Linked DNA regions of Sus scrofa. The protein of the gene in region 2 interacts with the protein of the main gene of each other region in a pairwise test. Links are inferred from orthologs where the notes say so. Each region holds a gene or a part of one and is shown on either strand. Other genes may lie near its edges.

What was found.
Region 1: the proteins of HTT (region 2) and PPL interact in binary tests that used the Homo sapiens proteins (3 or more experiments, as listed by UniProt). The link is inferred for Sus scrofa from reciprocal best matches to the Homo sapiens genes HTT and PPL.
Region 3: the proteins of HTT (region 2) and MORF4 family-associated protein 1 interact in binary tests that used the Homo sapiens proteins (3 or more experiments, as listed by UniProt). The link is inferred for Sus scrofa from reciprocal best matches to the Homo sapiens genes HTT and MRFAP1.
Region 4: the proteins of HTT (region 2) and MBD4 interact in binary tests that used the Homo sapiens proteins (3 or more experiments, as listed by UniProt). The link is inferred for Sus scrofa from reciprocal best matches to the Homo sapiens genes HTT and MBD4.
Region 5: the proteins of HTT (region 2) and HAX1 interact in binary tests that used the Homo sapiens proteins (3 or more experiments, as listed by UniProt). The link is inferred for Sus scrofa from reciprocal best matches to the Homo sapiens genes HTT and HAX1.
Region 6: the proteins of HTT (region 2) and RNF40 interact in binary tests that used the Homo sapiens proteins (3 or more experiments, as listed by UniProt). The link is inferred for Sus scrofa from reciprocal best matches to the Homo sapiens genes HTT and RNF40.
Region 7: the proteins of HTT (region 2) and PTK6 interact in binary tests that used the Homo sapiens proteins (3 or more experiments, as listed by UniProt). The link is inferred for Sus scrofa from reciprocal best matches to the Homo sapiens genes HTT and PTK6.

What each region holds. Positions count from the first base shown.
Region 1 is NC_010445.4:37,508,933-37,512,379, reverse strand, and holds the end of PPL (periplakin), read right to left. Parts: coding exon 1,302-3,447; 3' UTR 501-1,301; downstream 1-500. UniProt on the Homo sapiens protein: Component of the cornified envelope of keratinocytes. May link the cornified envelope to desmosomes and intermediate filaments. May act as a localization signal in PKB/AKT-mediated signaling.
Region 2 is NC_010450.4:1,924,768-1,928,267, reverse strand, and holds part of HTT (huntingtin), read right to left. Parts: coding exon 3,484-3,500; intron 1,436-3,483; coding exon 1,245-1,435; intron 1,055-1,244; coding exon 940-1,054; intron 827-939; coding exon 613-826; intron 297-612; coding exon 191-296; intron 1-190.
Region 3 is NC_010450.4:4,120,284-4,124,558, forward strand, and holds MORF4 family-associated protein 1, read right to left. Parts: upstream 2,797-4,275; 5' UTR 2,575-2,796; exon of another isoform or gene 2,457-2,574; 5' UTR 2,419-2,456; coding exon 2,035-2,418; 3' UTR 2,022-2,034; intron 1,513-2,021; 3' UTR 501-1,512; downstream 1-500.
Region 4 is NC_010455.5:68,825,760-68,829,805, forward strand, and holds the start of MBD4 (methyl-CpG-binding domain protein 4), read right to left. Parts: upstream 2,801-4,046; 5' UTR 2,591-2,800; coding exon 2,439-2,590; exon of another isoform or gene 2,221-2,438; coding exon of another isoform or gene 2,177-2,220; intron 768-2,176; coding exon 537-767; intron 1-536. UniProt on the Homo sapiens protein: Mismatch-specific DNA N-glycosylase involved in DNA repair. Has thymine glycosylase activity and is specific for G:T mismatches within methylated and unmethylated CpG sites. Can also remove uracil or 5-fluorouracil in G:U mismatches. Has no lyase activity.
Region 5 is NC_010446.5:95,468,173-95,472,105, forward strand, and holds the start of HAX1 (HCLS1-associated protein X-1), read right to left. Parts: upstream 2,801-3,933; 5' UTR 2,008-2,800; coding exon 1,955-2,007; intron 1,446-1,954; coding exon 827-1,445; intron 360-826; coding exon 308-359; intron 180-307; coding exon 73-179; intron 1-72. Other genes in the region: UBAP2L (ubiquitin-associated protein 2-like), read right to left, coding at 3,848-3,933. UniProt on the Homo sapiens protein: Recruits the Arp2/3 complex to the cell cortex and regulates reorganization of the cortical actin cytoskeleton via its interaction with KCNC3 and the Arp2/3 complex. Slows down the rate of inactivation of KCNC3 channels. Promotes GNA13-mediated cell migration.
Region 6 is NC_010445.4:17,633,191-17,637,288, reverse strand, and holds the start of RNF40 (E3 ubiquitin-protein ligase BRE1B), read left to right. Parts: upstream 1-1,298; 5' UTR 1,299-1,430; intron 1,431-1,539; 5' UTR 1,540-1,610; coding exon 1,611-1,742; intron 1,743-2,127; coding exon 2,128-2,295; intron 2,296-2,429; coding exon 2,430-2,571; intron 2,572-4,098. Other genes in the region: CCDC189 (coiled-coil domain-containing protein 189), read right to left, coding at 294-325, 628-843.
Region 7 is NC_010459.5:62,540,895-62,543,435, reverse strand, and holds part of PTK6 (protein-tyrosine kinase 6), read left to right. Parts: coding exon 1-97; intron 98-1,032; coding exon 1,033-1,214; intron 1,215-1,891; coding exon 1,892-2,045; intron 2,046-2,541. UniProt on the Homo sapiens protein: Non-receptor tyrosine-protein kinase implicated in the regulation of a variety of signaling pathways that control the differentiation and maintenance of normal epithelia, as well as tumor growth.

The DNA.
Region 1 (3,447 bases), on a different chromosome or scaffold from region 2:
TTGGGGGGTGGGGTGTGGAAATTGTTAATCTTGTATAAAGCAACTCAATAAATTGTTTCAAGATTTCCAAAACATCCTTTCTCATTCACTTTTTTCTTTTTTTTTTCTTTTTTTGTTTCTTTTTTAGGGCCTACCCTGCTGTAAATGGAAGTTCCCAGGCTAGGGGTCCAGTTGGAGCTGCAGCTGCCAGCCTATGCCACAGCAACATGGGATCAAAGGCACTTCTGCGACCTGCACACTGGCGCTCACGGCGATGCTGGATCCTTAACCCACTGAGCAAGGCCAGGGATCAAACGCACAACCTTATGGATACTAGTAGTGTTTGTTACCACTAGCCACAACAGGAACTCTTTTTTCATTCACTTCTGTTAATCGTGTTTGCAAATAATTCTTTCTTCCGTAGCAGCTGATATGTAGGGAACATTCATTTCAGTTGAAAGCCAAGAGGGGGTTGGGGAATAAGCCTTAGATGCAAAAAGAGGAAGAAACACACCATGAAGTTAGAATCAAGCCACCATGTGTTTATTTTCATGCTTTGAACAGAGTTCCCTAGTAATTCCCATTTTCTTAATACATGAGATACAGAGAACCTGAAATTAGTTTGGTGAAAAATCAACTGCGGAGTCTTACTATATGGCAGTGAGATAAGGAGCAGGCGTTAAGCACTGAATCTAAGGCTACCAGCAACACAGTCCACGAGGAAAGTACTTTCATTTCAGAACCATGAGACGTTCTCTGATGCATTTTCTTGGGACAGTCTGGCTTGACAGTTAAGCGTTGCTTGAGCACCTGGGCCAGAGGCTGTTCTGGCTTCTTTGTGCCTTTGCTGTCTCACAGGGAGGCCTCTGATGGCAAGTCAGCTGAGCCAGAATCCGCAAGGGGTGTGCGTGCAGATCGCAGCCCTGGGGGCCTGGTGCTTTGCTGAAGGGAGGCCCCAGCTGGGGTGTGCAGGCCGGTGCTGCACGGAGCAGGCTTGTCTGCCCCGGTCGTCGAGTGTTTTGCTGGTTTTCGGTGGCTTCTAGGTATCACACGAGGAGTCTGTTGACGGGAGTGAGTGGGAAAGGGAGAAAGAAGCAGGCGCTGTGGGTTTGAGTCAGGGACGAAGCGGGTCACTCACCAGGCTGGATGGAGGTTCGGCCGGTGCCCATCCCGCTGTGGGTGAGGAGTGCTCTGAGCAGCCTGGCGGCTGCGCTGGACCCTCTCACGGGGCTCTGCACGTGGCCAGGCAGAAGACACCGGGGAGCTTCCTGGGTGGGAGAGAGCCAGCGTCAGCTTCCAGGAAGGGGAGGGCAGGGCCGAGCCTACTTCTGCCCGGACACCAGGACGGCCAGCTCCTGGATGGACATATCCTTGTTGACGTAGCGGTCGTACTGGGCAGGGGTCAGCCTTCCGCTCTGCAGGGCCTCTTCGATGGAGAACTTCTTGCCTGACTTCCTGTCGTGGATCACGGAGGACTCCCCGTTGGGACCCTTGACGGAGATTTCCTCCCAGTCGCACTCCTGGCTCCTGAGTTTCACGAACATGTTCCAGTCGATGAGGCCGGCCCGGTGGGCTTCCTCTGGAGACAGCTCGCGGCCGGAGTCGGGGTCGATGACCACGATGGAGCGCCGCAGGTGGTTCTCCCTCTGCTCCCGCTTGACGGCCACGGAGCCCAGGCGCCTCTGCAGCTCGTCGATCTCCAGGTCCTTGTCTCTGGAGAGCCTCTTGAGCTCGTCCAGCTCCCGCTCCAGGGACCACAGCCTGGAGTCGAGCGGAGCGCCAGGGTCTGCCACCGGCACACTCCTCAGGTCCCGCGTCTCCGCCGCAGCCATCTCAATCTCCGCCTGGAGCCTGCGGGCCTCGAGCTGCAGGTTCTGCCGCTCCAGCTGCAGTCTGTGGTTCTCCTCCCTCAGGAAGTCCAGCTCCTTGGACGACTTGGAGTTGCAGAACTCCAGCTCCGAGAGCTTGGCCTCCAGCCGGCTCACCTCAGCGTCCAGCTCCCTCTTGCTCCGGCTCTCCTCCTCCAGGCTGCTCTTGAGCTTCTGAATCTCCTGCTCGGTGTTGCCTCTGTCCACCTGGACGCTCTCAGAGAAGACCACCTTCTCCCGGACCTCCAGCTTCTCCAGGTGCTCCAGCTTCCTCCTCAGCGTCTCCAGCTCGCTCTCCAGGACCTGCCGCCGGTGTCGCTCCTCCTCCAGCTGCAGTGTGAGCAGGGCGTGCTCCCGGGCCTGCTGGGGGTCCTGCTGCAGCACCACCTTTTGCTTGAGGGTCACCTTCTCCCGGGCCTCCCCCTCCTCCTCCTCCAGCTGGGCCAGCCGCTGCTTCAGGCGCTGCACCTCCAGCTCGGCCTCCCTGCGTGCCTGCCTCTCGCGCTCCAGCTCCTCCAGCTGGCGCTCCAGCTCGGCCCGCCTGCGCTGCAGCCGCCGCAGCTCCCCGCGGAGGCCATCGATCTGCCGCAGCTCCGCGTCGATGCTCTCGGTGAAGGCGCTCACCTCGGCCCGCAGCCCTGGCTCCTCCTCGTACCTGACGACCTCCTGCTGCACCACCTTCTCCTTCACCCGGGAGAGCTCCTCCTCCTTCTGCTGGATTTTCTCCTCCTGGGACGCCCTCTCCCTCTCCAGATCCACTTGCTTCTTCTGTTCTTCTGCCAGCCTGGCCCTCAGAGACTCCACTTCCTCTTTGGTTTGGGGGTCCTCCTGGAACTGCAGGATCTCCTGGACCACCTCCTTGGTCTGCACCTGGGGTTTGGCCTCTTTCAGGGCCTGGATCTCCTGCTTCAGCTGGTAGATCTCCAGGTCACACCTTTCGATGAGCCTGGTCTTGTCGACGATCTCCTCCCGGAGCCTCTGCAGCTCCTTCTCCATCTCAGGATCCGTCTTGTACTTGATGACCTCCTTCGTGACTTCCTTGACTTCCACCTGGGGGCCCCGGCTCCGGAGCGCCTCCAGCTCGCTCTGGTAGCTCTTCAGCTGCTCCTCAGCCCCCCGGTACTTGCGCTCCTGCTCCACCAGCTCCAGGCGGAGGTTGGCCACCTCACTCTCCACCTTGGGGTCCGGCCGGACGATCTCTCGCACTTTCTCCTGCACGACCACTTTGGCGTTTTCCTCCTCCAGGGCCCAGATCTTCCGGAGCAGCTCCGTCTTCTCCCTCTGGTTGGTGCGAGCCTTGGCAGCCTCATCCTCGACCTGGCGTTGGAGGTCGCCCACCTCCCTCTCGGTCGCCACATCCTTTTCCACCTTGAGCACCTCCTTGACGGTGATCCTGCCCTCGGCCATGGCCCGCTCCTTCTCCAGCCTCTTCAGCTTGTCCTGCAGGAAGCTCAGCTCCTCCTCCTGCTTCTCCCTGAGCTGGCGCTCCCGCCGCTGGTCCTCCTGAAGCTGCCGGAACTCTGCCTCCAGCTGGGGGTCGTTCTGCAGTTTCACCACCTCCTTCTCGGTGACTTTCTCGCGCGCCCGGTTTTTCTCCTCC
Region 2 (3,500 bases):
AGGCAAGCGCTTGGCACGGCCTTGGAGCCAGTCAACTCCGACCCAGGTGGCAAGAAGCTAGGCCCGCCCCCAGCGCAGACCCCCAGGGCAGCGCGGCGCAGGAGGAAGCAGGCGGGCCTGAGCGCAGCGGGCGTGTGTGTGTGCAGTGGCTCCTGGCCGGAGCTCCCAGCCAGGCCAGGCGCTTTCCTACCTGTCGAAGAGAACAGACACACGCTCCATGGCCACAATCACAGACTCGCTGTCGGGGGCGGCAGGGCTGGGGTCGGAGCTTCTGCCTGGGCTGATCTTCTCCTTTCCTGAAACAAAACCAAGCCGTTCGGTTCTACTGACAGCCAAACCAGAGAGGCTCCGTCAACAGGGCCTGGAACTCACGCACGGTCTCCTGAACCCCCAGAGATGGTCTGAAACCAGGTGATGGGGGCCCCCAGCAAGCAGCCCAGGGCCTGGCCCAGTCACACAGGGCCCACTGGTCAGCCTGCAGCCCGCTCCCCGTGAGGCGCTGACGCCCGCCCAGCTCTGCGACCTGGAGAACCACAGGAGCCTGCGGGCTGCCTCCCGAGCGTCTGGGATGTGCAGCGCTGGCCTGCCGGGCGCCAGTGGGCCCCCGCTCACCCGTGTACATGCAGGTGAGCATCAGGCCCAGGGCCGCCATGGCGCGGTGCGGGCTGTGCGCGTTCACTCTGTCCACGCTCAGCTTGACCAGGGACTCCGCGTCCAGCCGGGAGAGCTGCTCGGAGAGCAGGAGGCGCTCCAGGCCCCTCAGGACGCAGTGGTAGACGATGGACGGGGTGGACTCCTCGCTGCCGGACAGCATCACGCCACACATCTGCACAGGAGCACTTCCAGGTCAGAGGCACCGCAGGCCTCCCGCCTCAGAGGCCCCGCCCCGCGCTCAGGGCTCGGAGCCGCTGCGCGTGGAGGAGGCCCAGGCCCGCCCACCTGTATGACGGACGCAGAGAACTCGGGCCCGACGTCCAGAGGGTAGTTCTCGATCAGGTAGAAGGCCGTGGCGCACATCACCAGCACGTGCTGCTGGCTGTGCACGTTCACACAGCTGGAAGGAGACAGGGCGAGCTCAGCCACGCGGCAGCCCCTCCCGCCCGACGGCACGTGCTGTCCGCCGTCTCAGTGACCACAGCCACCGTCCCTGGGAGGAGGGTGCCAGCTGGCTTCCTGCTACCCCGCCTGCGCGCGGTCGCTCCTTTCGCGGCCCTGCTAGACGGCCTCAGGTGGCCCCCACTCACTGGGCCACGCCTCGGAGGTTGGAGAGGAGATAGTCGCTGATGGCCGGGATGAGCTGCTTGGCCGTGTCGTCCAGGAGGTCGCACTCCAGCACGTAGAGGGCGCCGTGCAGGGCTCCGATCCTGCTGGGCAGGTGGCTGCTCCTGAGCGTGCTCTCCAGCAGCCGGCTCACCGGCTCTGCCACGGCCTTGTCCTAGGGCACAGGCAGTGATGCCACGGGAGTGGCCAGGGGAGGGCAGGGGCCGCTGTGCAAGATGGGGCCCCATGGCGGGCCCAGCTGCTGTCCTCCGTCAGGGTCCCCAGCACCCTCACCGACGCCTCAGCTGTTGTGACGAGTGTGTCCATGCTGACACCTGGCCCCGGGGGCTGTGTGCCCGGCAGAGGGGTCCCCGGGGCCACCCCCAATAAGCCCTGGCTCCGAGTCTCTGAAGGGCTTCTCGGGGACAGCACGCCATGCATGTTGCCACAAGGTGTTGCTGGGGGACTGGGCGCAGCCCGTGTCACTCCCGGGACAGGGTTCTGGAAGCTGGTTTCCCTGGACCTCACCCCTCGGCCCCGTCCCTTCGCTGGTTCCGCTTTGCAGCCTCTCGCTGCCGTGGATCACAGCCCTGAGGACGAGTGTGTGTGTCCAGCCCTGCGTGTCCTCCTGCTGGACACCTGCGGTGGCCCCAACTGTGGTCTACACTAACTTGTGCCAAACACTGTTTCATTCAGTTCCTAAACAGCTGGAGGGAAGCCGAAACCTGAGCACCCAGCCCCAAGCGCTGCGTGTGGGATCGGCTCCATGCCAGGGAGGAAACCCCTTCACGGTGCGCAGGTGGGGACCCCTGCTGGCTGAGGGCCTCGCCTCATCCTGTAAAAGCCTCCGAGACTGTGGCCCTATGGCCTCCCAGGGATCCTAGCCTGAGCTCCCCCAGGTGACACAGCAGGACTCCTCCTCTGCTGCCCATACCCAAGGCCTCCAAATGCCACCAGGGAGGGCACAGCTCTCACACACTGGGAGAAGCTCTGAACCGCCAGGGCCACAGGCTGCATCCTCGGGGCAATGGCCCCGCGTTCACGGCGGGACCGGGGTCTCCACGTCACCCCGCCTGAGCCTCTGCCTAAGAGACCTCACTCACTGGAGTCACTGACGAGTCGGCATCTGCCCCCGGGGCTGGGGACAGGGCCAGGGCACAGGACAATCACCATGGAAACGAGCCCAGGCCTGACTCCTGCAGAGACGAAGGGACCCTTGGAGCCTGGCTGTTTCTCCCTCCCTCCCCACAGCCAGAGCGCCCGCCCTTGGAAGAGCAGAGAAAGCCGAGACTCGTGTTTCTGTGCCTGAAGGCCACCCAGGACGGTACCCGCTCTGGGCCCTGGCTCGGAGGGGCGAGCTCTGGTCGCAGGCACGGCTCACACCCCGTGTCTGCCACAGCCTGTGTGACCTGGAGCAAGCGGGTCACCCTGGCCTCGGCCTCCATGGGCACAGGAGGGTGTGTGAGGCCAGGGGGGAGCCCCCCAGAGGCCCCTGCTCTTAGGACCAGCAGCACAGGGGTGGGGCTGGGGGAGGAAGGGGGGGCGGGGGCGAGAGAGTGGCTGGGGCACTGCGACGCCCCTCACCGGTGGTTCCAGTGCCCGGCACGCGGCAGCTACCCTGGGTCTGTCCCGTGGACGAGTCTCTACTCTAGCAGAGGGAACCCAGGGGACAAGTGAGTGAGAAGAGGCACAACGACCGGCTGATGCCACGTGGCAAAGCGCAGAAAGACACTCAACTTGGAGTCCAGTTATTTTCCTCCAGAGGCAGAGCTGCTATTTCCAACCTGCTCTAGAAACGGCAGGCCGGCGGGCAGCACTTTCCATGTTGATGCTGCGTGGCCGCCGGGCATAGAGGGATGAGTTCTGATCAGCTAGAGAGGCACACTCAGGAGGAGGGGCTCAGAAGAAGGCCTGCCTGCCGCCCCCCCCACCCCGGCCCCACTCAGAACAGACAACAGACCTCAGTATCTGGGGGGGGGGGCACAGGTACAAGGTCACCACAGGGGCGGATCTGCCAGCCGGGCAGCATGGGGCCCCCAGCACAACTGGAAGGGCTGACTGTGCAGGAGTCGGCCACATGCCCCACCACCCGTGCAGCCCAGCCTCTTTGGGGACAGGGACACGACAGAACCAGGGGTCCAGGAGCCCAGCTGGAGGCACTGGCGCCACGCACTCAGCCGACTGCCCACATCTGCCCCGAGAGGCCCGCACCCTCCGGCTTACCATGCCGAGGACGGCGG
Region 3 (4,275 bases), about 2.2 Mb from region 2:
CTGTGTCCATCCCTCAAGGCCAGGTTCACCTTACTTGCTCTGAAATGCTTTCTTTCTCCTCCTCAGTCCTCTAAGATACGGTATCTAGCTTGTGACACATGGTTTTCCAGTTTCACGCTTGCTATCAGCTGGATGCCCCAGGAAGCAGATCCTGAGATGAAAATCAGAGTGCAGGCAGGCTCTGTAGGATGCAAAATCTATGGCCATGGAGAGCCGACTGTACGACAATTTTTCCTAAGGAATGTGAGCATCCCTGGATCTTGGTTATCTGTGGGGAGGGGGTGAAGGGTTTTGGAACCAACCCCCTCAATACCAAGGGCCAACCCCATGCTTTTTCCTCCGCCAGTCTCCATAGCAGCACGCAGAGATATGATTACCTCCTCCGTAATTTGGGGCTTAAAAACCCCAATAAATCCACCCCCCATTTGGCAAAGATGACCGCTACGAAGGAAATTTTTCTTAAAGAAACGAAATTTCTTAACTCAATGATTTCTCAGGTCTTTTGTCTTTTCAAGCAAATGAATACTTTTATTAACATGGTAAATTTCTTTTTAAACACATGGTAGGGTTTTGACCTCAAATACTTGTCAGGTCTGCTGCTGAAATGAACTTATAGCTAGACAACTTATGGATGTTGAAAGTACTTAGTCCCTATCCAGTTTAGGGTCCAAAACAGACAGCCCTTGCTTTTCTTCCCCAGACCTTCAAGGGCTTTTGCAAATATCGCTTTTATTTTATGCCCAGAATGCCTTAAAATGCATCAGGGTATTCTATCAATTATACAGAACACCAAGACCTATCTCATGTTCTATTCTCAGTTCCACGTCGAGTAAAGCTGAGTAAGGTTGTCCAAACAAACTGACCAGACAGGTTACATCACACAGTGTGCCGCATAAAACTTACATTTTGAACAAAATACATCTCTCCTCCTTTGGTCTCACACAGAAATTAAAGTCCCCAAACAATACCATCCTCCACCCCTTCTGATTCATCAGTCCTAGCCAGATCAGCCCCATTCACATTCCCAGTAGAAGTCTGGTCCCCTCTTCAGCTTCTTTAAAACTGCTGCATGGAGTCGTCTTCCAGATATCATGCAGTTCCTTCAGCACCTTCAGAGCTGGAGAACTCCAGCTCTGAGTCTCATCCGTCACACACAGACCCAAAGTTCCAGGAAGCTATCAGGTCACACAAGAAAGAGCAAAGCACCTCAAAAATTTAGAAACAACAAAAGCCCAGGAACAAACGTGACTGCTGCAAGAGCTTACAATCTAGGCCCTAATTCTTGCTCGTGAGAACGTTTTCCAAATAAAAGTTACCTCCCCAAACAAAAACACTTAACAATCAAAAACTCATATTGAGGTCATTAACCACAGACCATAGCAGAAACGTAGTGTAAGCGAGGACAAGAGTGTAGACAGAGAAAAAAAGAGAAAACAAAAGGCTCTCTGGTTTCAGCTTCTCCAGGGTGTCAGCCAATCTCCATCAGTGGACCAGAATCCATTGGCTGTAAACCTGAAGTGCAATCGGGAGAAACTCAGCATTAACAGGTTAATCCTTCAAGAAAACCCAACCCAACGCCCTCACACCTGCAGCCCCGCAGGGCACCACCTCTCCGGGATGCCATCTGACTCTTTTCAGGCTTCCAGCGAATTCTGGAACCGTCCAGAAACAGCCTTCCCTCCAGCAATCGTACATTTATTTCTCTCCACCCCAGCTCAATGGGCCCTACCACGATCTCGTTCTCTGGGACTTTTGCTTATGCCCCTCGAGTTGATCCTACTGACCGTGACCTTACGTTGCGAACACACACAGACGAAACCGAATCAACCCACCCGCCCACTTTTTCCCTCTAGCTTCCTGAGACTGAAAAAGCACACAAACGGTCTGTCCTAAGACCTCCTAAGGTAAACACGCAGCATGTTTCACTCTCTCCTCCCAACTCCCACCCCGAGGGGCTCGCTGTTCCATCCACGGCCCCGAGGCCGAGCCAAGAGGGGGGCAGCCCCGGGCCCCCGCCTTACCGCCGACCCGGCTTCAGGACGACTCGCTCTTCTCTATCCGCCGGACCAGCTCCACCAGCATCTCTGCCATCTTCGCGATCTCCTTGGCCTTCTCCTCGGCCTTCTCGCACCTCTTGGTCCCCCTGCCCTCGACCGCGTCGTCCGCGCTCTGAAGATGGTTGAGCGCGCTCTCCTCCGAGGCCTCCACCTGCGTCTTGATCTGGATGAGCATATTGTCCATCTCCCACAGCTTGCTCCGGTTGCGCAGGTACGCCCGCCCGTGCTCGCGGGTCAGCGCCGCGATGTCCTCCCGCATCTCGTTGATGACCGGGAGCAGGAACTGCTCGAAATCCTCCTCGGGCTCCAGCACCTCCACCTCCTCCGGCTCCGCCAGCTCGACGATGTCCAGGGGCCGCATCTCCTCCCGCTGTTCCGGAACCGCAGGAGCCGAGTCGGCTGCAGAAAGAAAATGGAGACTCGCTATGCTTACCGACACACTTCCAGAATATTCTCTCAAACTTTTACCCCGTTTAAACTTTTCGCCTCAGAGCAGCCACGGAATCAAGCGACTTACGAGCTGAGAAGCGGAGGACAAAATGGAGTCCTAGCCGTCAACCAGCGCCCTGCGTGTTGCGGCCCCTTTCACGACACGGCCGCCCCTCTTTACGGTCAGGCCGCGGGTAGAACTAGGTGCGGGGGCGCGCACGTCAGTGGTGGGCGACGCGATCCGCGCTACGCGGCCGCGCGCGCACGCACGCTCTTCCTGATACATCCTCTCCCCTTGAGGCCCGCGCTCCGCCCCTCTGCTGCCCCACGCACGCGCACGCACGCCCTCCCTTCTCCCTCCGGGCCCGTCGTCTCCGTCTCGCGCCCGTCTGCTCCCACCCGCCCCCGCGCGCACGCGCGCGCGCGCACACACGCTCTCTCCTCTCTCCCCTCCCCCTTCAGTCTGGCGCTGCTCCCAGCGGCCCCTGGCTTGGGAGTTGGGGCGCTGCGGTGCTCGCTCTTTTAAAGTTTTTCTCCAGCGTGGAGTTTACAGCTTTCAGAGATCTGAGAGCCATCTTCCCGCGCTGAACGAGAAGGTCCTGCGTAATGATGGGAGTCGCGGTCTCACGCAGAGGGCCCCACCCCGTTTAGTACCGCAGCCGGACCCTCCCCGACATCTCAGAGGCTGCTCTTCGTTATTGCAGTCAGAAGTGTCGGGGTGTCTTTCTCGAAACCGAGACCCCCGGGTGGGAAAGGCCGGGTCTGAATTATTCTGCGTTCCCACTGGACTCGTCTTCACGACTTTTACCGGACTGAAGGCTCCTTGAGGGTCTTACTCTGTCTCAGAGGTTTAGAGCAGAACTTGGCACAGGGTAGTATATTGCTTTAACATTCATTGCACAGACAATTTTAAGGAAACGTATGATGATTTCTTGGCCTGTTGACCTAGTCACAAAATAGCAAAAAAAAAAAATCAGGAATCCAGCTTGCACAAGTGATACGGCTTCTGTTTTCCAGTCAGGTGGGGGACACACCTCCCAGTTCTGAATATAATCGAGTGAAGAATGAAGAGAAACAACCATCAGATGCAGCTAGAGATTCTCATGCTAAGTGAAGTAAGTCTGAAAGAGGAAGATAAATATCGTGTAACTTATATGTGGAATCCAAAATATGGCACAAATGAGCCTATCTTCAGAACAGAAACAGGGAAGTTCCTGTTGTGGCCCAGCGGTAATGAGCCCAGCTAGCATCCTGGCCTTGCTTAGTGGTTTGAGGATTGGCGTTGCCCTGGGCTGTGGAGTAGGTTCCAGGTGCAGCTTGGATCTGGCGTTGTGGCTATGGTGTAGGACAGGCAGTTGCAGCTCTGATTAGACCCCTAGCCTGGGAACTTCCGTATGCCGCAGGTGCGGCCCTAAAAAGACAAAAAATTTTAAAAAAAGAAACAGACTCACTGACATGGAAAACAGACTTGTGGTTGCGGTGGGGGGGGGTGGAGTGGGATGGACGGGGATTTGGGGTTAGATGCAAATGATTACATTTAAAATGGATAAGCAATGAGATCCTATCGTATAGCACAGGGAACTATATCCAATTACTGTTTTTTTGGTTGTTTTTTGCTTTTTTGGGCCAAACCCAAGGCATATGGAAGTTCTCAGGCTAGGGGTCCAATCCGAGCTATAGCTGCCGGCCTACACCACAGCCACAGCAAGGCAGGGTCTGAGCCGTGTCTGTGACCTATACCGCAGCTCACGGCAATGCTAGATCCTTAACCCACTGAGCGAGGGCAGAG
Region 4 (4,046 bases), on a different chromosome or scaffold from region 2:
CAGCTGTCAGCCTATGCCACACCACAGCAACGCAGGATCCAAGCCTCATCTGCGTCCTACTACCGCAGCTCACAGCAGTGCCAGATCCTTAACCTACTGAGTGAGGTCAAGGATCAAACCTGCAACCTCATGGTTCCTAATTGGATTCATTTCCACTGTGCCACGATGGGAACTCCAGTAATTTCCAAATTTTAAATGGGCATTTGTCATTTCAAATAAAAAAGTGATAAAATGATACTTTTAAATGGTTTATTCTGTGATAGTATAACATAATTTTACAAATATAACCTAAGTACAACCTCACCATTTTTACAAATATAACAAGTGCAACCTCACCATTAACCATGTACAGTAGGAGAAAATGGATGTAATTGTCCCCAAGTCACTTGATATAACTAATGAGTGACAGTGAAGGAACAAAATCCATCATGGTTTTATGGTAAAAACAGAAAAACGCCAAGACTCTGCTATGCTTTCCTGCCACCTTTCTAGACAAAATTATTTGGCTATACATCTTCACCACCTTGCATGCTCACCTGATAAAATAGACATCATATCTTCCTGCTGTTTTCCCAGATAACCTTTGCTTCACAAGCCTTTCCCATCCGCATGGGACAGACTTGTGGCACTCTGTCACTGCAGTGCCATCAAACTCAGCAGAAGCCAAGGGTTCCTCTAGCAGAGGAGTACACTCACTGCTGCTTTTTATCACTATTTGTTTCTCATCTTCTCCCACTCTTTCTGATCCCAGAGCAACATCTTCCTCCCTGAAAGAAAACAAAGTACAAGTGATTAGCTCAGGTAAAATGCATTTGATTCTGCTTATTCAATTTCAGTCCATGACAGAGAAGCAACCACATGGACTCTCTGGACTATGAGAGATTAAAATCAGTATGGACCAGTCCTGCTACGAGAATATTTTTCTGCCCTCCAATACCTTCTTGTCTCCAACATGGATTAAAAAGGCTTGGAAATCTCAACACAATGAAAAACATGAGCTGTTTGTTAGAAAGTTTTTTGGTTAATCTTGAATAGCGCTGTTATTTCTGGTGACACCTGACATAAGTTTAAAAATATGAACCAGGGAGTTCCCGTCGTGGCGCAGTGGTTAACGAATCCGACTAGGAACCATGAGGTTGCGGGTTCGGTCCCTGCCCTTGCTCAGTGGGTTAACCATCCGGCGTTGCCGTGAGCTGTGGTGTAGGTTGCAGACGCGGCTTGGATCCTGCGTTGCTGTGGCTCTGGCGTAGGCTGGCGGCTACAGCTCTGATTCAACCCCTAGCCTGGGAACCTCCATATGCCGCGGGAGCGGCCCAAAAGAAATAGCAAAAAGACCAAAAAAATAAAAATATGAACCAATAGCTAAGCTCTTAACCTAGGGATCAACTGAACAGCTTAAAGGAGTCAGTGAGACACCCTCCTCTGCCACAAATAAGTGATGTAAAATTTGTATATATATGTGCATATATATGTAACCAATTTCTAATACAGAATTTTCAAATTCTCTTTCATTCTTGAGCCAATAGCCCTGTGAAGTAGGAATAATAAGGACTACTCTCATTTTACTGATAAAAGTGAGTGAAGGGAAGATTAAGTTACTTGCAGAAATGATTCCAGAACCTAGGTCTACTAAATCTTGGTCTAATACTTCTTCCCTTGTACTAGCATTGAAAAACTTTAGTTAGTGTATCCTAATCACTAAATCACATATGCTAAAAGTTGGCTGGGTCTACAGAGATGTCTAACCAACCTCTTTTCTACAAATAGGGAAATTAAGTAAGAGCTAGTTACTAACTAGAATTAGAATTAAGGTCTTCTGATGTGATGTGGGATTAAATAATTTAGGGGAGCTGGGTGAGTGGATCTTAAGAAATCATACGGTTCACAATTTTGGAGATAAGAAACTGAATATTGGTGAAAACAGCACAAACTTTAAAATCAACAGACTAGGTTCAAATCCCAGCTCTGCCATTTACTAGCTGCATTCAAGATCAAGTGACTTAACATCTCAAAGTCTGTTCCTCCATTTGTTAAAAAAAAAAAAAAGACCTAATACTTCCTTTAAGGTAATTCTGAGGATTAAAGGTTTTTTTTTGGGGGGGGTAGGTAAATTATCTTAGCCCCACACCGCATATACACAAATACTTAGTAAGTGTCTGTGGTTTTTTTCCCTTACCTCTCATTGGACCGGTTTCTGGGGCGCCCCTGGCTCCTTAACATGACATCTCCTCCAAAGTCTTCCTAGGATCCTCCAACCCAAGCAGTCGTCTCCCAGCACTAGGAAACCTTCCTGCTCCACCCAGCTCCCATGTCATTTCTGGGGACGAGGTCGGGAGCCGACCCCTCCAGAAGAGCACCTGATCCCCAGCCCCGGCTCGCTGGAAATAACTCTGGGCCTCCACGTCTCCGCCGACCCCAGGAGAGAAAGGCCCACCCACCTACTCCCTCTCTCCCATTTTTCAGGTGGTGAAACTGCGGCCCGAAAGGGGACAATGACTTGCCGGAGGTCACAGGGCCGGTCTGAGTCTAGGCGCTCAGTGGCGGTGATCAAAGGTGCAGCTCCGCAGTCCCCGGGGCTCGGACTCTCCATCCTAGCCGTGCCCCCCTAAGCGAGATCCAGCTGTAGCAACGGGCCGAGAGGCTGCGTCGCTCTGAGTGAGGAGCGGAGTAAGATGTGAAAACTTCTCCAGCTCTGAGCGATAGGCTGGAACCAAAAGATGAAGGTAGTGAATGTCTTTCATACGCCTCAGCTGCTTTGCGGCCGCCCCCTGGTCCACAGGCGCCATTTCCACGGCTCACCCAATCCAATCCTTTGTCGAGAAAGACGCACCGCCCCCTCACCTTAGGGGTGACCAATCGCGCGCGCCCTAGTCGTGCAGACATCTTCAAGGCTCGGGTTCCATTGTTCAAGCCCTCTCTTTCAGACATGCGCACTCGGAACGCTCGGCTTCGCGCGTAGCTCACTGCGCATGTGCGTTGCCAGGGGTAGCGCAGGTAGCCGAAGTGGCTCGCGGCTTGAGGCCTGTTGCCGAGGTGGGGAGGTGGGGCCGGAGGTGTGAAGCGAGCCGCTATGAGGGCCGTATTGACGTGGAGAGATAAAGTGGAACAGAGGTTAGGAGTGGGGCAGTCCGGGAGGAGCGGGAGGCCAAGCCCCAGCGGGATAGCGGGCGCCATTGCGTGAACCCCGGTGGTTGCCACGGGCAACGGGCCTGTGGCTCAGGCAGAGGATAGTGAGCCCCGAGAATCAGCGTCTGAGAGGTCGCCCCCCAGCCCCTTTTCGGATGGACACTGAGGCCTGGAGAGGGAGCAAGGGCAGTTCTGCGCGTGAGGTAGTGGTCTGTCGAAGTGGTTTTACACATAGTCATAACCTGGTCTTGTCTTTTTCTTACTCAGAATCCATCCTGGGCTCGTCTTAGACCCATGACAGTATTTCTCTAACTTCACCACTTTTGCCATATCCACACATTACCTCTACTCTTTTTTGCTTGACTTTTCTTCTAAATTTCCTCATTTATTTTCGTTTAAATATAATTTTACAAGGAAACTTTATTACGCCATATATGAAAACCAGTTTTCATTTGCTATAAATGTAAGTTAACTGTAACTTAAAGCTGGGAGAAACGAAACGGTGTTAACACGGTATAGCTAGATACCGTTGCTAGGGAGTCTTTAAACCTTCATTTGGAGATTGAGCAGGTGTTGTCCGTGAGGTGCTTGAGATGAAAAGCATCAAATCATGACTTTCTCATGTATTTTATTAGAAGGCTTGAAAGAGACTTGAAAGAGAATGACTTTCTCACTTTATGATTCACTGTTGTTTAATGTCCTATTCCACTTTTATCACCTAAATCTATCATGTAAGGATTCCTTTTGCAGGGAATACTGACTTATTGGGTAGTTTTCCTCAGCCTGACTTTCACAGTCTTCCTCCATGATCTTTTCAACTTCATTGCGAAGCCTCCGTTTGGCTAGTGGCCTTCCCTCTCTTTTCTTGGGCCTTTCTGTGTGAGGAAAGCACATCTTCCTTCATCTCCTTACATGGAAAT
Region 5 (3,933 bases), on a different chromosome or scaffold from region 2:
TTTCTTTACATAGATCCCCATTTCCAGAATATTCTTGACCACAGTTCCCTTTACTCCTCTCTCCCAACTCACCCCATCTGGCTTAGTGATCTTGGTCACAGAGATGCTCTTGAAATAGGATTTGGGCTGGGGTTGCAGAACTGGGCCAAGGCCCTCCTGGGAAACCTGGGAATCAAGATCTAGAAGGACAAGAGAGGAAACAGGAAAAAATAAAAAGAGTCCAAGGGAAAGAGGACAAGTGTGGCAGGAAGAAATTTCAGGGAGGGGGAACAAAGGGCTGGTAAATGTCCTCTCCCTCCAGACTCACCATTATCCTCTCTGGCTCTAGAACTGGGGGTCACAGGCCACATATCATCAAACTAGAAGAAGCCAAAGTAGGTCAAATGGCACCATAAATCTGAAACTTGCGGGGCGGGGGGGGGGGGGGTAACAGAACCCAAAGTTTTGCCAAGTTCCAAAACTATTGTGCTCAGGAGAAATAATCCCAATCAGAATAGTTTAATTTACTCGCCCCTCCCTCCTTCCTAGCTGTTCTATGTAACTCTTTACCAAAAACCATCCCTGTACTGATACTTTAGCCTACCTCTATAATTCTGCCTTGTCCAAGAATCATTTCAACCAATATATATATTTTTAAACAAAAAGAACTTCCATTCCTCTCACCCCCCCCCAAGAAAATCCTACAAAAAGCTTAATATAGAAAACAGATAAATACTCTTATGTGGAGAGTCTAGGATTCCAACCCAAATCTGTCAGATTCCAATAAGGATTCCAGTCTTTGCAGTTTTGTTCCACAGGCTCTCACTGCAGGCCCAGATGTACTCACCCTATGAAAAGGTCTCTGGGAATCCCAGTCTGGTACTGGTTTGGGGGATTCAGTTTTTGCATCACTCTCCAGGCCCCCACCAAAGATCCTGGGCTGGTGACTATCTGGATACTTAAGCATTGAGTCCCGAAGTGTCTGTCCTTCCTGCCGTCTCTCACCAGGTGTCTCTATCTCAGGACCTGGAAGTTCTGCAGAAAGGTGGCAGGTGGATGCTGGAGGTGGGAGGGAAAGATCTTGGGCTCTTTTAAATCTTGAAATCATCCATTTTCTCTCTTCCCACCCCCCAACTACTCTCTGTAGGCTCCTTTTTTTCACCCATCGACCCATCAGAAACCACAGGTTCTCCCCCAGGGACATCCACACACCAGGAGGACGGGAAGGCAAGGTCCAGGCCCCCATCTCGCTGAAGATACTATTGAAATCCCGTACTAAGTCATCGAAGCCAAAATTATCGTGGAAACGCATTCCTCCTCCTGGGCTGAAGCTGAAGCCAAAGCCAAATTCCTCGGGAGGCTGGGGACCTTCAAACCTCGAGCTCCCCTGGCTCCATGTGGCTTCTTCCTCTTCATCATCTTCATCTTCGTCGCGAGTCATCCCTCCAAAAAAGGGATCTCTGTGGCTGGGGATGGATGCAGATTGGCCACCAAGATTTCGGCACTACTTAATCTATAAAACCAGCTAATGGTGGACAAGAGTAGGAAACTGGAAAGCTGAAGCGAGCGTTAGAGAACTGGCCATCGTGTCTGTTTTGTTTTTATCAAAGCCAGTCCTCGCCTCGCGGCTCCCCCAAACATTTCCCCTCAGCTTTTCTTCAGCGTTCCCCAACCCCTCCCCTCTCTCCCAAGGTCCCGCTCGCTCACTGACCCCTTCCCCAGAGCTGCATTGTCTTCCCCACACTTGGGCCCCTGCTGCATCACCCCAGAACGGAGAAACGTTTAAGCGCCTGTTTCTCCTCTTAACGACTGCCTTGGTTACTGCCGCGGGGTGTGTGCTCAATGTTGTGACTTCTGCCCTCTCCGCAGGAGTTGCATGAGTGGGGAAAAGGATGTTTTTCCAAAAACAGTGTGTCAGGGGTCAAGCTTCCCTCAGCGGATCCCCCTCCCTTATCTGACCCGGACCCATTCTCACCTCCGAGGTCTAGAAAAGCCGAAAAATCCCCGAAAGAGATCAAAGAGGCTCATTCCCGTCGTGGGACTCGAACCTTCGAACCCCAAAGCCGGGGGGAGAAACCAAAGCTACGCCGTCGGAAATTGAGCGAAGCGTCAGACCACGCTGCCTGAAAGCAAGCCTGCGATCGGTCGGACACTGTCGTAAAACGACCGTAAGCGGGGCGTGGTTGAGGGCGGGGCAGGCCTATCGAATTCGAAAGGTTTTTTCTTTTACCCCACCTGTTCCCTGTGAAGGGAGTGGGTGTACTTAATTTTCGTTTTCCAACAGTCACCTGACTCCTAAGCCAATTCCTTCTGCCGACCAATGCGGTCGGTCCGACAGGGTGTCTCAAGGGTTTCACGCCGCCGGATGGCACCGGAGGCAGCCGCCAGAGGGCAGCCCATCCGCACAAATGAACTGGACCAAGGCCCTCCCTCACCGCCGGCTCACTACACCCATGGACTCCTCCTGGACCCGCCTCGGTTTTGTTTCCTGACTGAGCCAATTAAGTCTGATACCAGAGGGATGGACAAAACGTTGCATCAAGCTCCTTCTAATGTAGTGACTTCCCCAGAGTTGAGTAAAAGAAAAAGACTCAGGGAACGCAAGGACTTCTCTCTCCAGCTGTTAAGAATTCCTCTAATTCTTCCAGGCAAGCTCTGCAACCAGCAGGTTAAAGACTTCATAAGAGAGCAAGGGAACTCTTGGGAGGGAAAAATTGGGGGCTTTTAGTATCTTTTTCCTATCATTTGACTTTCAAAGCCTCTGCCTCCCTGTACCCCACCCCCATCCTAACCCTGGCCTGACTCTAGACTTCTTTTCAGGGGCTGGGTATTAGTTATGTGAAATGAAAGCACTCAAGCGTCAAGAACTACTGCTTCAGATTTGCTGGCCAACAACAGTGCATGTTGCCCTCATTTCTTTCCAGTTCATTTGCCTGGACCCATCTTAATTAAACTGATTCTGCAAAGCCATTTCTTTCAGTTTTCATTTAATCCTCTTCCGTTCCACCCAGTATCTGCTATCCATTCCACTCCCTTCACCGCCTAAAATCTGCTGTAGATCTGGAGAAAATGAAGATTTGCAGTGATTCTTTCCAGGCCACGCCGTGAAATTCTTAGGGGAGAACGGAAGGGAACCCCCTCAGGGGCAAGATACTAGCACATTAAGGTCGGAGTTCTTAAAGGGCGAAGATTTCATTTTATTCCACTGCCTTCGGGGCCTGCTAGAGAAGGCCCAGTTGGTACAGTAATACTTATTCACCAAGCTGGTCATCGACGAGACTGAGGATATCCTAGACGGAGCAAGAATGGGCAGAGGCTGAAGGTAGAGGTTTTCTTTTTATATATACAAGACACATTAATCCATTAAATTTGAAGACACAGTACAAAAAAAAAAAAAAAAAAAAACACTTCAACTAATTCATCTGACAATGCTGTTCATGTTCATGACACCATTTTTTGTTGTTGTTGTTTTGTTTCCTAATAATAAAGGAGGAGACTTAGGGCTGTTGGGCTGATATATATTTGGGGGTCCCCCCTCCCCACCTCACCCACACCACCAGGGTGAACAGGAGGAGGAGAAGGAAGGGCAGGGCCCACAGCAAAGTTTCATAATCTTGAATGCAAGAGGGGAGGAGGAGAGGAAAGGAAAAAAAAAAAAAAGAAGAAAATACAAATCCTATAATACATACAACAGAGTGGGGATGGTATGGGAATGGGACAGACATGAAGCTGAGGCATGGGGTGGGCCGCTGGGTGTGGGGGGCAGCGGAACCCCCCCACATTCCTTTCTCTCTTTGATGCTGTTTCCATAGTTGCCAGGCTGAGAAGCCCTCTCAGAAGATGGGACCGGGAGAAGAGGGTCAGGGCCTCAGTTGGCCCCCCAGCTGTAGCTGTTGTAGGCAGACTTGTTGGTCTGGGGCTTCTGCGGGATGGAGCTGGTCTGGCTACGTTGCC
Region 6 (4,098 bases), on a different chromosome or scaffold from region 2:
TTATGCATTAGTCTTAGGACAAGGCTATGATGGCTAGAGCGTAGGACTGGGAAGCAAGAGACCTGAGTTAAGAGGTTTGGCTCTTCCACTAACTCGCTGTGTAACTTTATAACAAAGTCACTGAGGCAGCGGGAGACCTGGCTTATAGTCATCTTGGGTAATTGTATCTCTGGGCCTCAGTCTCCTTGTCTGTAAAATGGGAATTCCGTCCTGTTTGACAGGCTCGTAAGGAAGCGCTAAAGGAATAATACAAGTGTGAAGGGTAACTTTCCCTCAAAGCTCTTCACACTCACCATATGCAGATCCGGGGCTGGGGTAGCGGCGGCTGCGGGAGAGAAAGCGGATTGGGAAAGGCAGAGCTGCGTTGTTAGTCCTGGCCCGTGGTTCTTTGCCCTTGGTGAATCTCTGGTGGTCTAACAACGCGATACCTTGCCTTCTCATCTTAAAAACTGTGTACTAGCAATACCGGCGGGCTGGGCTTCGGCGATCCCTAAGTACTATTCATGAGCGTATTGACAAGCAGTTCAAGCCTGCCTCTTCACCAAGGCAGCCCGGGAAACAAACGGCCCCCTGCCTGGGAGCCCTTTTATAAACATTCATGAGCAGACCACTCTGACCTGTCCTCACCGGGAACAAGTTGGCTGCAGGATCTTCATTCGCATCCACTGAGGCCACGGTCCCTGACTCGGTCCGCACTCCTGTTCCCATCCTCTTGGCCGATTCATCCAACGAGCTGAGGTCCTTCTCATGGTCTTTCTCATGTTCTCGCCGCAGTTCGGAGTGCTGGTCCAGCTCCGACCGCCTTTTCAGTCGCCGGAATTGGCTGGATTTCCGGCGGATCATCTGGTCGCTCCTCTGTGTCGCGGGTCCCCACCGTCTTTATCCTGCCTCGGTTCTGGGACAGCCGATCTCGGGCGGCGACTGCCAAGGCCTGGCCCTTATCGACGCTTCAGCCAATCTACGCTGCAGAGAGGCCGGGTACAGCCAATCGGCTGGGGGCGTCCCTCCGTCTCAACGGTGACGGTTGCTAAGGAGGATCCAGTAGGAAGGGAGAAAGTGTACCGTGCTCGCCAAACTGTGAGAAGAGAATGCGCATGCATAATAAGATGCAAACCCCGCCCCGGTGCCCTCTCTTCGAAGTTGTTAATCTGAGGCAGGCGGCGTTATTAGGACTGCGGAGTGGAAGTGTGTTGTCAGTTACCATGGCAACTGCCTACCGGCCAATCACTGAGAGAAAGAGGAGGTGTTCAGAAAGAAACCAAACGGACGCAAGAGGAGGAACAAAGCACAACCAATAGAAACAGGAACTGGAGAAGATTTCGCCACATCCGGCGCTGCCTCTGGCGCCTGCGCTCTGTGCTGGGGGGCGGGGGTGCCCAGTGACGTCCGGTGAAGTCCAAGATGGCGGCGCTAGGCTGATCCTGCTGCTGGTGAGGGGCCCGGGGCCGGCGGGGCGGGGTCCGGCAGCTGTGTGCGGGGGTAGGCTCGTGGCTGCGGACCTCCGTCCCCTTCCCCAGCTCTACTCTCTGTCTTCTGCAGGTGACGGAAGTGCCGAGTCCGCCTGCCTGACGTCCTCGAGAGACCGGGGGCCGCTCCTCGCCGCCGCGGCCATGTCTGGGCCCGGCAACAAACGCGCCGCCGGCGATGGGGGCTCGGGGCCCCCAGAGAAGAAGCTGAACCGCGAGGAGAAGACAACAACAACGCTTATAGAGCCCATTCGTCTTGGGGGCATCTCTTCCACGGTTCGTGGGCTCCTGCCCCAGCCCGCCCAACTTCCCAGAACCGTTTTCCCAGTTCCCCAAGTTTAACCAGATCCACTTTACAGAGCATTCTGTTGAAGGAAACCTAGGACATGACGTCTGCCTTCCCCTCGCAGATAGGCAAACAGGTTCCCAGAGAGCGTGTGACAGACATGTCAGACTTCAGGTAGAAAGAGGCAGGAGCAGAACGTGACGCTCCTTACAAACAAGACGCTTCCTCCGTGGGTGTCTGAGCTTTGTATGTCCTGTTAGCAGTCTGCTCCCCTCTCACATCCGTTCTATCTGCTTTCCTTTGTCTCTTTCTCTGATTGGTTTCTTGGGCCCTTCTTGACCCTCTCTCTCCTCGGCCCCTCTGTTTCCTTGGTAGGAGGAGATGGACCTGAAGGTTCTGCAGTTCAAGAACAAGAAACTAGCAGAGCGATTGGAACAGAGACAGGCTTGTGAAGATGAACTCCGAGAACGAATTGAGAAACTGGAGAAGAGGCAGGCTACAGATGATGCCACACTCCTCATTGTCAATCGCTACTGGGCCCAGGTGAATGCCCCTCTCCTTTACAAGACTGGGCTTTGATCCAGCTGCCAGTTCTCAGACTTCTCTGTTAGAAAGGGAGTATCATGCTAGGAAGCACCTGAGGGATTCCTAACATTTTTGGTGCTTTCTCCTTTCAGCTGGATGAAACTGTGGAAGCCCTTCTCCGACACCATGAGAGCCAGGGGGAGCTGTCTTCAGGGCCAGAGGCGCCTGGGACCCAGGAAGGGCCAACGCGTGATGAGACCCCTCTCACAGAGCCAGGAACATCGGAGCTGAGGGGTAGGGCCAGAACCCTAGGATCTAGGAAGCTTAATTAAGTTCTGGGAAAGGTCCTGGAGAGGAAAGGATCTTGATAATCAGGCTGCTGAATTCCCTGCCTATACAAACACACACACACACAATTGATTTTATATTTGGGCAGCAAATCACAGTGGATAAGAACAGAGACTTTGGAATCTGAATGACTTGGTTAAGAGTACAATTCAGGTTTTATTTATTTATTTTTTTTGTCTTTTTGTCTTTTTGTTGTTGTTGTTGCTATTTCTTGGGCCACTCCCGCGGCATATGGAGGTTCCCAGGCTAGGGGTTGAATCGGAGCTGTAGCCACCGGCCTACGCCAGAGCCACAGCAACGCGGGATCCGAGCCGCATCTGCAACCTCCACCACAGCTCACGGCAACGCCGGATCGTTAACCCACTGAGCAAGGGCAGGGACCGAACCCGCAACCTCATGGTTCCTAGTCGGATTCGTTAACCACTGCGCCACGACGGGAACTCCCAATTCAGGTTTTAAAAGTATTACATGTATTTGTATTATGACTGTGTACTTGGCACTGGTGTAGATTTGGAGGAGACAAAGATAGTTAAAAAAAAAAAAATTACTGGGAGTTCCCTGGTGGCTCAGTGGGTTAAGGATTGGCACTGTCACTGTGTGGATGAGTTCGAATCCTGGCCTGGGAACTTTTGCATGCCGTGGGTGTGGCTGGGAAAAAAAAAAAAAGGAAAAGAAACACTGTCTTAGCTATTAGGGTGAAAGTGACTGTAAACCACACACACACATAAAAGCAGAAGGGCTCCTGAATGGGAATTGGTATGTGTGCACTAATTTATTTATTTATTTATTTATTTTTGTCTTTTGTCTTTTTTGTTGTTGTTGTTATTGTTGCTATTTCTTGGGCCGCTCCCACGGCATATGGAGGTTCCCAGGCTAGGGGTTGAATCGGAGCTGTAGCCACCAGCCTATGCCAGAGCCACAGCAACGCGGGATCCGAGCCGTGTCTGCAACCTACACCACAGCTCACGGCAATGCCGGATCATTAACCCACTGAGCAAGGGCAGGGACCGAACCCGCAACCTCATGGTTCCTAGTCGGATTCGTTAACCACTGTGCCACGACGGGAACTCCTTTTTTTGTGTGTGTGTATGTGTGCACTAATTTAGTTTGGGAAGGCAGAGAAGGCATTTCTGAGGAAATGTTTGGAAGCTCTCCGTCCTTGAGGAAATTACCTCCTGGAACCTCAGTCGTTGCCTTTTTTTTTTTTTTTTTTTTTTATTTTTTTATTTTTAGGGCCACACCCACGGCACATGGAGGTTTCCAGGCTAGGGGTCCAATTGGAGCTATAGCAACGCCAGATCCACGCGGCATCTGCGACCTACACCACAGCTCACGGCAATGCCGGATCCTTAGCCCACTGAGCGAGGCCAGGTATCAAACCCTCAACCTTATGGTTCCTATATGGTTCCTAGTTGGATTCATTTCCGCTGCGCCATGATGGGAACTCCAGTTGTTGCCTTTTTAAGATGGGAT
Region 7 (2,541 bases), on a different chromosome or scaffold from region 2:
CACATCCTGCCACTGTACGCCGTGGCGTCCCTGGGGGACCCCGTGTACATCATCACAGAACTCATGCCCAAGGGGAACCTGCTGGAGCTGCTGCAGGGTGAGTGGCCACGGTGCGCCCGGTTTCAGAGATGCCAAAATGGCAAGTGTCTGTGCTCAAGGCTAAGTGGCCTCCGGTACGCATGTGTGTGCCTGGGCGTGTGTTTTAACACGTCCATGTCTGGAGTGCTTTCCACGTGATCGCTGCAAGCTGCTGCCACACCATCAAATACTCCCTAGAAACAAAATTCTGACACCGCCAAGTGCACTCAAGCACTTGTTGTTGGAACTTTTTTTTTTTTGCCTTTTCAAGGCCACACCCACAGCATATGGAGGTTCCCAGGCCAGGGGTTGACTCGAAGCTGTAGCTGCTGGCCTACACCACAGCCACAGCAACGTGGGATCCGAACTGCGTCTGTGAGGCCAGGGATCGAACCTGCAACCTCATGGGTACGAGTCAGGTTCGTCTTCTCTGCGCCATGACGGGAACGCCTGTTGCTGGAACTTTTTGATGTTTTTGGTCCTGTAGACGGTGCTGAGATGGCCATCTTTGAGTTCCTTTGCTTTAGTGTGGCTTCCCAGAAGGAAATTCCAGAGGGCGCGTTTGGACGGTTTAGCTCTGATACCTGACTACCTTCCCGAAGGGCCGCACCTGCAGCACATGGCAGTTCCCAGGCTAGGGGTTGAATCGGAGCTGTAGCTGCCCGCCTACACCACGGCCACAGCAACTCAGGATTCGAGCTGTGTCTGTGGCCTACACCACAGCTCCCGGCAACACTGGATCCTTAACCCACTGAGCGAGGCCAGGGATCGAACCTGCATCCTCATGGATGCTAGTCAGATTCATTTCTGCTGAGCCACAACCGGAACTCCCACAGTCCCAACTTTAAACCGGGCTCGCTGCCCTTTGCCCCCGCCCCTCCCGAGGGCAGGCGTCTGCACCGAGGACTCGGCCCTGGCTGGCCCCGTCACCCTGGCCTCCCATTGCCTCTGCAGACTCTGATGAGCAGGCCCTGCCGGTCTCGGAGCTGGTGGACATCGCGGCCCAGGTGGCTGAGGGCATGTGCTACCTGGAATCCCAGAATTACATCCACCGGGACCTGGCTGCCAGGAACATCCTCGTGGGGGAGAACACCATCTGCAAAGTGGGGGACTTCGGGCTGGCCAGGCTCGTCAAGGTGGGGCAGGCGCGGGGCGGGGGCAGGGGGGGTGCAGGGAGCTGGCGGGGCAACAGGAAGCTGAGGCAACCACGACTCTGTCGGGCGAGATGCCCAGGCGAGACACGGGTCTGTGGCACCCGGGATGAGCCAGACGGGGCCGGTGGAAGCACTTGGACGCGTCCAGGAACAGCAGGAGGAAAGCGCGGCCCCGTGGGGCCAGCTCACGCCGGAGGCTGGGGAGAAGGGAAGAGCTGCTGAGGGGCGGGCGGCAGAGAGGGCAGGACCAGCCTTCCTCGCCCCGGCCACCAGCCTGCCGGCAGGTGCCCAGCAGCACCTCCAGGACTCCCAGGAACACGCTGAGAAACTCCCTCAGGTCCTGCGCCCAGAGCCGAGGTTCTGTCCTTGCACTTTGCTCCTCAAGCAGACCCCGTGTCCCCCCGCGTGGCTGCTGGACCACTGCTTCCTCCCTGGGGGTCTCCCCCCGCAAACAACTTTTGGAGAAACTCTGTCCTTCGTCCTGGCAGGCTCTCTGCTGGGTTCTCTGCAGTCCGCCCCCCGCCGGCGGGGGGATGGCCTGTGGGCACCTGGGCGGGCCCGCCCCAGCTCAGGCTCCAGGCGTGGCAGCACGGAAGCCGTGTCTGCGTGTCTGCGCCCGGCTCCTCGAGCTTGTCCTCGCTGCACGTGTCTCACTGCAGGACGACATCTACCTCTCCCACGACCACCGCATCCCCTACAAGTGGACGGCGCCCGAGGCGCTCTCCCGCGGGCACTACTCCATCAAGTCGGACGTCTGGTCCTTCGGGGTCCTCCTGCACGAGGTGTTCAGCAGGGGCGAGATGCCCTACCCAGGTACTGGGCGCCCCGTGCTGCCGACCACAGGCAGGGCAGGAGGGGCCATCACCTTGCAGGGCCCCCCACTGCTCGCCCAGTGCCAGAATGCCCTCCAGAGTGTCCAAAGGGAGGCTTTAGAAGGGAGCGGCAGGTTGTAAATCAACTATAAATGAAACAATACACTTGTTTGTTTGTTTATGGCCACACCCGCAGCATACGGAGGTTCCTAGGCTAGGGATCGCACTGGAGCTGCAGCCTTCGGCCTACACCACAGCCACAGCCACACCGGATCCTTCACCCAATGAGTGAGGCCCGGGATCGAACCTGCAACTGCATGGATAGGAGTCAGGCTCGTTAACTGCTGAGCTATGACGGGAACTCTGAAAAAAAATCTTGGGGAAAAAAAAAAAAAAGGAGTTCCCATTGTGGCGCAGCGGAAACGAATCCCACCAGGAACCATGAGGTTTTGGGTTCAGTCCCTGGCCTCACTCAGTGGGTAAAGCATCTGGCGTGG